Danio rerio: one gene and its partner. The protein of the gene in region 1 purifies or fractionates together with the protein of each later gene. This does not show direct contact. Links are inferred from orthologs where the notes say so. Each region holds a gene or a part of one and is shown in the gene's direction. Other genes may lie near its edges.

Region 1 (3,833 bases):
ATTTGGAAATACCATTGCAATTATTTATTAATGACGTATATTAAGAAGCCGCCAATGCTGCAGAGAGAGACTTTTAGATGAATATATAAATATGCACTGCACTCTTTTCTTTCAACATTTAAGAAAAATAACTGTGTGAGAAAAAAAAAAAAGAGTTAAGGCATCTAATTATAGTGATGTGGTTTATTTACACAAGCTGTGAAACTGAATGAAGTGGACAGTTGGTGTACCGCACAAATAGCCTAGGTAAAGAAAACCTCCACAATATACAGCATATTAGACTAAAGTTTTTTTTTTATCTGGTTCATTGTAGTGATGATTGAGAATACATGTGCCAATGTGATCATCACAGTAATCTAAAAATTCCCATCAAAAAGAGAAGTGTTCTATGTGGTATTAGTAAAAATAGTATTGTCACCAGGGCGTACTTTCATATTTTCGTCAAAGGAAAAAAACAGCTCTTTGTCTGACTCACTTATCACATGATACATTGGCTTTTAGTATGAATGATCTGAATGAAAAACATTTACATGGAAACTTCAAACCATATTTTTGTTGAATATATGACAGCAAAAGTCAAGTGTATTTATTCTAGTATTAATATTTTCCACATTTAAAAGAGTCGTATGACTAGAAGAAGATGTTCAACCAAAGCTGCACATATTTGTTTTTAATACAATACTATTGGGAAATATATATTTTTTGAAAACTTTTTTATTATAGTTTTCGCAGACATAGAAAAGCAAATGGATAGACAAACCCATCATGTAACAATAATCTGTACAAAATGTTTCAAAAAAGCATGAAACGAGGGAAAGTGGCGACATATATGACTTACAGAAATTAAACCACATTATTAGCCTTTATGTTGTGCTAGAAAAAAAAACTTGATCCCACATTTTATCAAATTACAAACACTTTTTTAACAAAATTACAGACACATGCTTTATCAGTTGTTGTTTTGTTCTTGCTTATTTTATTATCTGTGTTGATAGTTGTTTTCTGTCCATTTATAGATGCACCCTTAACCCCAGTGACCAGATGGCTATGGAGGGGCCGCTTTCACGAGTCAAGTCCATCAAAAAGTCTCTGCGACAGTCCTTCCGCAGGATTCGCCGCAGTCGAGTCTCCATGCGCAAACACCACACTAACAACGCAGCCAAGGTGGGTTATAAAGTCTTAATCTGTTCCATAAAAAAATTCACTGAATGTACTGAAATATTGTGTTGTAGGTCTTAAATCATTTTAAACGGGTCTTCATTTGCATGTCCATGTAAACCTATCCAACATCCATCCAATCAACAACAATCCAGCTCAATAAAACTTTTAACAAGTGTTTTATTAACTGTATTTGCCAATATGGTTTATTTATAGCTACCTGGTGAGAACGCTGAGCGGGACAGACTGTTACATACATTAAGTTTATTACAGTTTTTAAACTGTAACAGTTTTTGCTTACAGAAATGTTCTATTGAGAAAAGATATTTGACAGAATATTTTCACATTATTTAATTATTTATTTAAGAAGAAATAATTCATTAGATTTTTTTGATGGGGAAAGTAAAAAAAATTTACACTGGCCCAATTGGACCATTAAAAAAAAATAACTTATAATTTAGCCCTGTATACGTCTGAAATTTAATTCATATTGTCCTTAAAATGTATGAAATTCTTAAAAGCAAAAATAGAAATAGAAGACTTTTATGAAGATATTAACCAAAATTTGAAAGACAAAGGCTAGTCACTGAGAAGTATCCTTATAAAGGTTCCTGAAAGATGACCAAATGCGCCAAAATACCTCTGGTTTTTGATGTAAATCATAAGATAACTTTTTCAATGACAAAAGTTTTATCTTTTTGCTCAACTACATATTGACAGAACGGACCTGAGCAGTTGACCATAATAAAAATTTACTTTTTTTTTTTTGGCCCAATATATAGAAAAATTCAGCACACAATCTTCATCACAATCAAGACAGAGTTGCACTGTACAATTCAGGACATATACCGTTTAAGACATTGCAAAAGTCTTTCCAATAATTCAAGAACAATTTTGTGAATCTCTTTCCAGTACCTTTGGTTCTGTCACAGTGCCAAAATACATGCATTTCTGTGCCAATATTTTTACTATTATTATTTTTTGTACGGCTCTTTGTACGCCGGTTGAACTACTTTTGCAAATTTTCATTGCCAATCAAATTCACTGGTTTTGGGTCAGTTTGGAATTTTCACAACCAGCGCAGAGCCTCTGGGATTGAGAACTGCTGGTTTTACAATTATTATCTACCTCACATTTAAAACACAGCTGAGAACAATTGGGAAATATTCTATGAATGCTAACTGAGGGTTACATGAAGAGCTATTTCAGTAGCGATTGGCGCTGCATACTTCAGAGTTGTTGAAACAGTGGTGCTGGCTTGATGATGAATATTCTGGATCTTTCTGCAGCTGCAGGAGATCAATGCCAGGCTGGAGGCTGAGGCTCTGCAGGAGATGGAGCTGGCTCCTGTACAGAGAAAGATTGAAGCCCGATCATCTGATGACTCCTTCACAGGTCTCGTCAGAACGCTCTACTTCGCAGATACATTTGTCAGTGATAGTAAGTACCACAGGGTTTTTTAATCTGCAATTTGGGATTAGATTTTGGGTCTTATAACTGATATGATGACCTTAATCTTCTTCTTGTTTTCCTCAGGTTCTCACAGTACACCTTCACTGTGGGCAGGGACCAATGGCGGAGCTGTGTTTGCATATGTCCTCCGTGTCCCACCACAGGAACGAAGGGCAGAGGATCCAGTGACGGCTCATGCAGGTACAAAAACTAAAATCTGAAATAATAGTCAGAAATAAATTTCTTTGTTTGCTTTCAGCTGTAAAATCATATTTAATGTATCAAAAATAATTTGCCAAATAGGAGCACAGTTTTTTGTTGATTTTAATAATACAAAGTACTGTTGTGACTGCTACTGAATCATTATCTACATGGTGCAGGTGGTTGGTTGCTGTCACCTTAGCAGCCAATAAGCTTGTTCTTGAACATTCACATTCAGGTTCACATGTTTTTAGATCTGCTACGGGGAGTCACATATACAGTTGAAGTTAGAATTATTAGATCCCGGTTTATTTAAATTTATTTAATTTATTTAATAATTTTGACCTTAAAATGGTTCTTAAAAAAATTAAAAACAAAATAAAACAAAAAAATAAAACAAAAGACTTTCTCCAGAAAAAAAAATATTATCAGACATACTGTGAAAATTTCCTTACTCTGTTAAACATAATTTGGGAAATATTTAAAAAATGTAAAAAAAAAATTCTAAGGGGGCTCAACTGTATATTGCGTTTGCAGCAGCAGTATGTTAAATTTTCAGACTGTGTGACTGTGAACATGCTGACAATAGGAAGTCTCAGTACTTGCTCTGCTGCTTTGATAAAACAGCAGCAACATAGCAGCTTTATTCCGCCAAGACTAATCTAAGACTAAATAAAAAATGTGCATTATATTTTACATATTATAAAACGTGAAGCATATTAACAAAGCTTGTGTATTTGGGTCAAGCATGAAAATGTGTAATACAATTATAGTTTAAATAGTTTAAATGTTAAATAGTTTAAATACCAGAAAGATTTTGTGATGCATATTTAATGAACATGATGAAATGATTAAACATTAAAAGAGGCTTTGTATTTCTGTTTTTTTATTACTATTTCTCTATATGTAGGTTTTTATGTACAGCTCTTTGGTCAGTCATGTGGCTGTTTTTTAAATGTACTTAATAAATAAATATATATTTTAGCAATGATATTTCGAAACTACAGTGCTGATTAAAAGCA
Region 2 (3,833 bases), on another chromosome or scaffold:
TCAGCCAATCACATGCCAGCAACTCAATGCATTTAGGCATGTAGACATGATCAAGATGATCGGCTGCAGTTCAACCCTAGCATCAGAATGGGGAAGAAAGGTGTTTTAAGTGACTTTGAACGTGGCATGGTTGTTTTTCCAGGCAGGCTGGTCTGAGTATCTCAGAAACTGCTGATCTACTGGGATTTTCATGCAAAAGCATCTCTTGGGTTTATTTGGATGGTAGGTCAGCTGTCTCCTTACCTATCCGGGACAGTGTTTTTAAAATGAAGCCATTTCTGAAAAGGACCAGCATTAAGTTTTGTGGAAGTCATGTGACAGAACATTTCTGTAGTAAATGTAGTGTTCTGTAAGACAAGAGCTCTGTTCTTTGACCTGAAAGCAAAGCACTGTGTTTTCCACAGAATGCAATCCACCAGATAACACCTACTCTTCCACGTTGACAGTGTTATGTTGGGAGGATTTCTTTTTCAGATGGTAAAACTGAAAAGTTTGTTGGCATCAAGGCCAGCATGGATTAAACCAAATGCATGCAAATCCTTGTGGAGAACCTGTTTCACTCTGCCAGAGATATGAGTTACTTTCCAGCACAATTGCTTCACAAACTACACAGCATAACTATAAATTAGTCATTTGTATTCTAGACACAGACTCGAACGCAATTGAAAATTTGTGCTATGACCTAAAGTCACCCTCGATCTAAATTGCTAGTGGTGCAACAGTTGTATTAAAGAGTGGGCAAAAATGCATGGTATGAAACGAGTTGAGTTCTCACAATATGTTTTAATTGGATTCCCTGAAAACAGCTGATACAACACTTTTGCGTATACTTCAGTTCTGTTCAGTAATAATGTTCCAAGTTGCTGCTTTTCTTCGATGACCTGCAGTTTGGCTAATGGACTGTATTAATTGAAGAACATTGATAGTTAATATTTTGCAGAATAAATGTAATTATCTAACATTTATAGCCTTCATAACCTCTTAATCTTATGGGTAGCATTATAATGAACAGCCTCGATTGTCTTAATTTAATGTGCAATAGATATTGAAAATGCCTCAATTATCTGCCTTGTTCAAAGATTGAATAAATTCAGATCCTTCAGTTTGAATAAAATATAATATTTTTTTTTTCATGACAAAGATTTACTTTTCAGCAACACTTTACTTTAAGGGGTGTTCGTAAGACACCTTTATAATTATGACATAACATGTCATGAATGTGAATGAGATTATATGCATCCTTATGACAATTATTGTTTTTTTTTAGTGTTCAAGTGTTATTTTCTCAGTTAGGTCATGACATTGTTTTATTACAACTTGATAAACAAATGCATCACAACCTGTTTTTGTATTTATCATGTCAACTTGACATTACCAAGACAACGTGAATTGTCATAAATCTGTTGTAAACATTAACACACGTGTACATGTTAAGTTACTAGCATCTTGCATAATAAGTTGAAAAATAGTATGTACTGTTGTAGGGCTGAACAACATATTGTTTAAGCATCGATATCGCAATGTGCGTGTTTGTAATAGTCACATTGCATGATTAGATTATTTATTAAAGATTAAAAGATAAATATAGTATTAAATATTTGTATTTAATTATTTATGAAACGTTTACCATGTTAATTTACATATGATTGTTCAATTTCAGTACTTGAATACTGTTACACCCCCCAGTTTTATTTATTTATTTTTTTATTTTTTTATTTTTGCTCTATATGTTTGTAATATATTCAGGGTGTCTGCAGGGTCTTAAAGTCCTCAAATGTCTTAAATCTCAAAAACTAAATTTTAGGCCTTAAAAAGTCTTAACTTTACTGAAATATTGTGCTGTAGGTCTTGCAATTTTTTTTTAAACAGGTTTTATTTTGTGCATGTATAGCTACCCAATCAGGCCAACACCCAACCCATAACACACCATCTCAATAAAACTTTAACTTTTTAAGAGTGTAATTTTTTACTTCCATAATGGTTGAATTATTTTCCTTACAATAACACTTGTTTAAATTTTTCATGTATTTCCTGCTGAGAAAGTTGACCTGGACGGACTGTTGTGCATGCATTTAGTTTATTATAGTTTTTAAAATCTTTCGAACTTTTTTAATTTTTTTATTTTAAAGTAAGATAATTTTGAAAAAAAAATTTATGTATACAACTAGAGGTTTCTTGTTTTGACACCATGAAATATTTTGCTTTCATTTTTAATTTATTATTAAACATTAATTTTGTACTAATAAATTATAAAAAAGTGTGATAGGGCAAATTTTACATTTTTATTCTTATTAGTCTTAAAAATGAGGCGAAGCTGTGGGTAGAGCTGTAACCTCAAAGCGAGACGGTCGCTGGTTCGAGCCTCAGCTGGGTCAATTGGCATTTCTGTGTGTAGTTTGTATGTTCTACCCATATTTGTGTGGGTTTCCACCAGGTGCTCTGGTTTCCCCCACAAGTCCAAAGTCATGTGATACAGGTGAATTGCGGCCAAATTGGCCGTAGTGTATGAGTGAGAATGTGTGTGTATGGATGTTTCCTAGTGATAGGTTGCGGCTGGAATGGCATCCGCTGCGTAAAACATATGCTGAATAAGTTGGCAGTTCATTCTGCTGTGGCAGCCCCAGATTATTAAAGTGACTAAGCCAAAAAGAAAATGAATAAATGAATGAATGGTCTTAAAGATGTTTTAAAGTCTTAAATTAAACTTGCTAAAACCTGCAGAATCCTTTTTATTATAATTTATACTGATGCACTGCATAGAAAAAGACTTGATCATCCCAGTTGGTAAAAAGCTAAATAAAATCTTCCCAAAGAGAGCTTTTAAAATCATCTGAAATATCACAATATCTGATTTTTCCAATATACTGCAGCTTTATCGTCATGGCAAAGACCAAAGAAATTAAAACAGTTATGTTTAAAAACATGCTGAAAAAAACATGCTTCCCTCCTTTAAACAGCACTTGGGAAATACTTTAAGCACTTGGGCCAAGAATTTTGACTTTAACTTCAATATATAAAGGTATTTCTTTTCTTTTTTTGGGGAGGGTTGAACTATTCTTTATTTTTGCTCTTGAAGTGACCCTGGAATTCTGTGTGTTGTTGTGTATCAGCAGTGGAAGACGAAAGGCAATGCCCAAGCTGTTGTACACTTTGATAACTGTGCCAAAGCTCAAGAAGATGCTTAAAGAATGCCATCTTTCTGCTCAAGGCAACAGAGAGCAACTCACGAGACGCCATCAAGAATTCACGCACATCTATAATGCCCAGTGTGATGCACTCAACCCTAAATCAGGTATAAATCAATCCATGAAGGAACAAACAATTTAATGAATAATGGTATATACTGTAGGTAATAAAGTGCATGCTTATGATTTAATCAAGTAAATGTTCTGACATGACCATTAATGACTGTAAAATGTTTGTTGTCAATACTATATTGCTTAAAGTGTTAACTGGGAATTTACACTCAGTCCAGCTAGTGTAGGTGGTGTATTGTAATTTACGTGCTGGAGTCACACTGGGGGAAAAGAAAAATACAGTAGTTTTATTCTTCACGTTTCTTTTGAGTTACTGCTCTCCTTCTCACTGACCCTTTCAGAACGGAATTTCTCTCTTTTCATTGAGCTGTCAAAGGGTTCACAGGAAACCATCTATTTTTCTTTCTATCACCCGATGTTGCTATGGTTTCTGTTTGAAGACTGAACTTATGTTTGGATTGTATTTTTCCCCACTGTTTTGTCATGTACCATTGAGTGAATTAGTAAATTGCACTGCATTGGATGTAATCAGTTGATGTAAAAGCTGATTGTCGTGATTTTCAGAATTATTTTGGA

Evidence for each region.
Region 2: the proteins of llgl2 (region 1) and rad18 purify together in Homo sapiens (affinity purification with mass spectrometry; 3 studies listed by BioGRID and IntAct, counting the BioPlex papers as one, with this or other methods). This does not show direct contact. The link is inferred for Danio rerio from reciprocal best matches to the Homo sapiens genes LLGL2 and RAD18.

The regions. Positions count from the first base shown.
Region 1 is NC_133187.1:35,658,010-35,661,842, reverse strand, and holds part of llgl2 (LLGL scribble cell polarity complex component 2), read left to right. Parts: intron 1-1,016; coding exon 1,017-1,164; intron 1,165-2,447; coding exon 2,448-2,598; intron 2,599-2,694; coding exon 2,695-2,811; intron 2,812-3,833. UniProt on the Homo sapiens protein: Part of a complex with GPSM2/LGN, PRKCI/aPKC and PARD6B/Par-6, which may ensure the correct organization and orientation of bipolar spindles for normal cell division.
Region 2 is NC_133181.1:44,379,979-44,383,811, forward strand, and holds part of rad18 (E3 ubiquitin-protein ligase RAD18), read left to right. Parts: intron 1-3,110; coding exon 3,111-3,292; intron 3,293-3,833. UniProt on the Homo sapiens protein: E3 ubiquitin-protein ligase involved in postreplication repair of UV-damaged DNA. Postreplication repair functions in gap-filling of a daughter strand on replication of damaged DNA.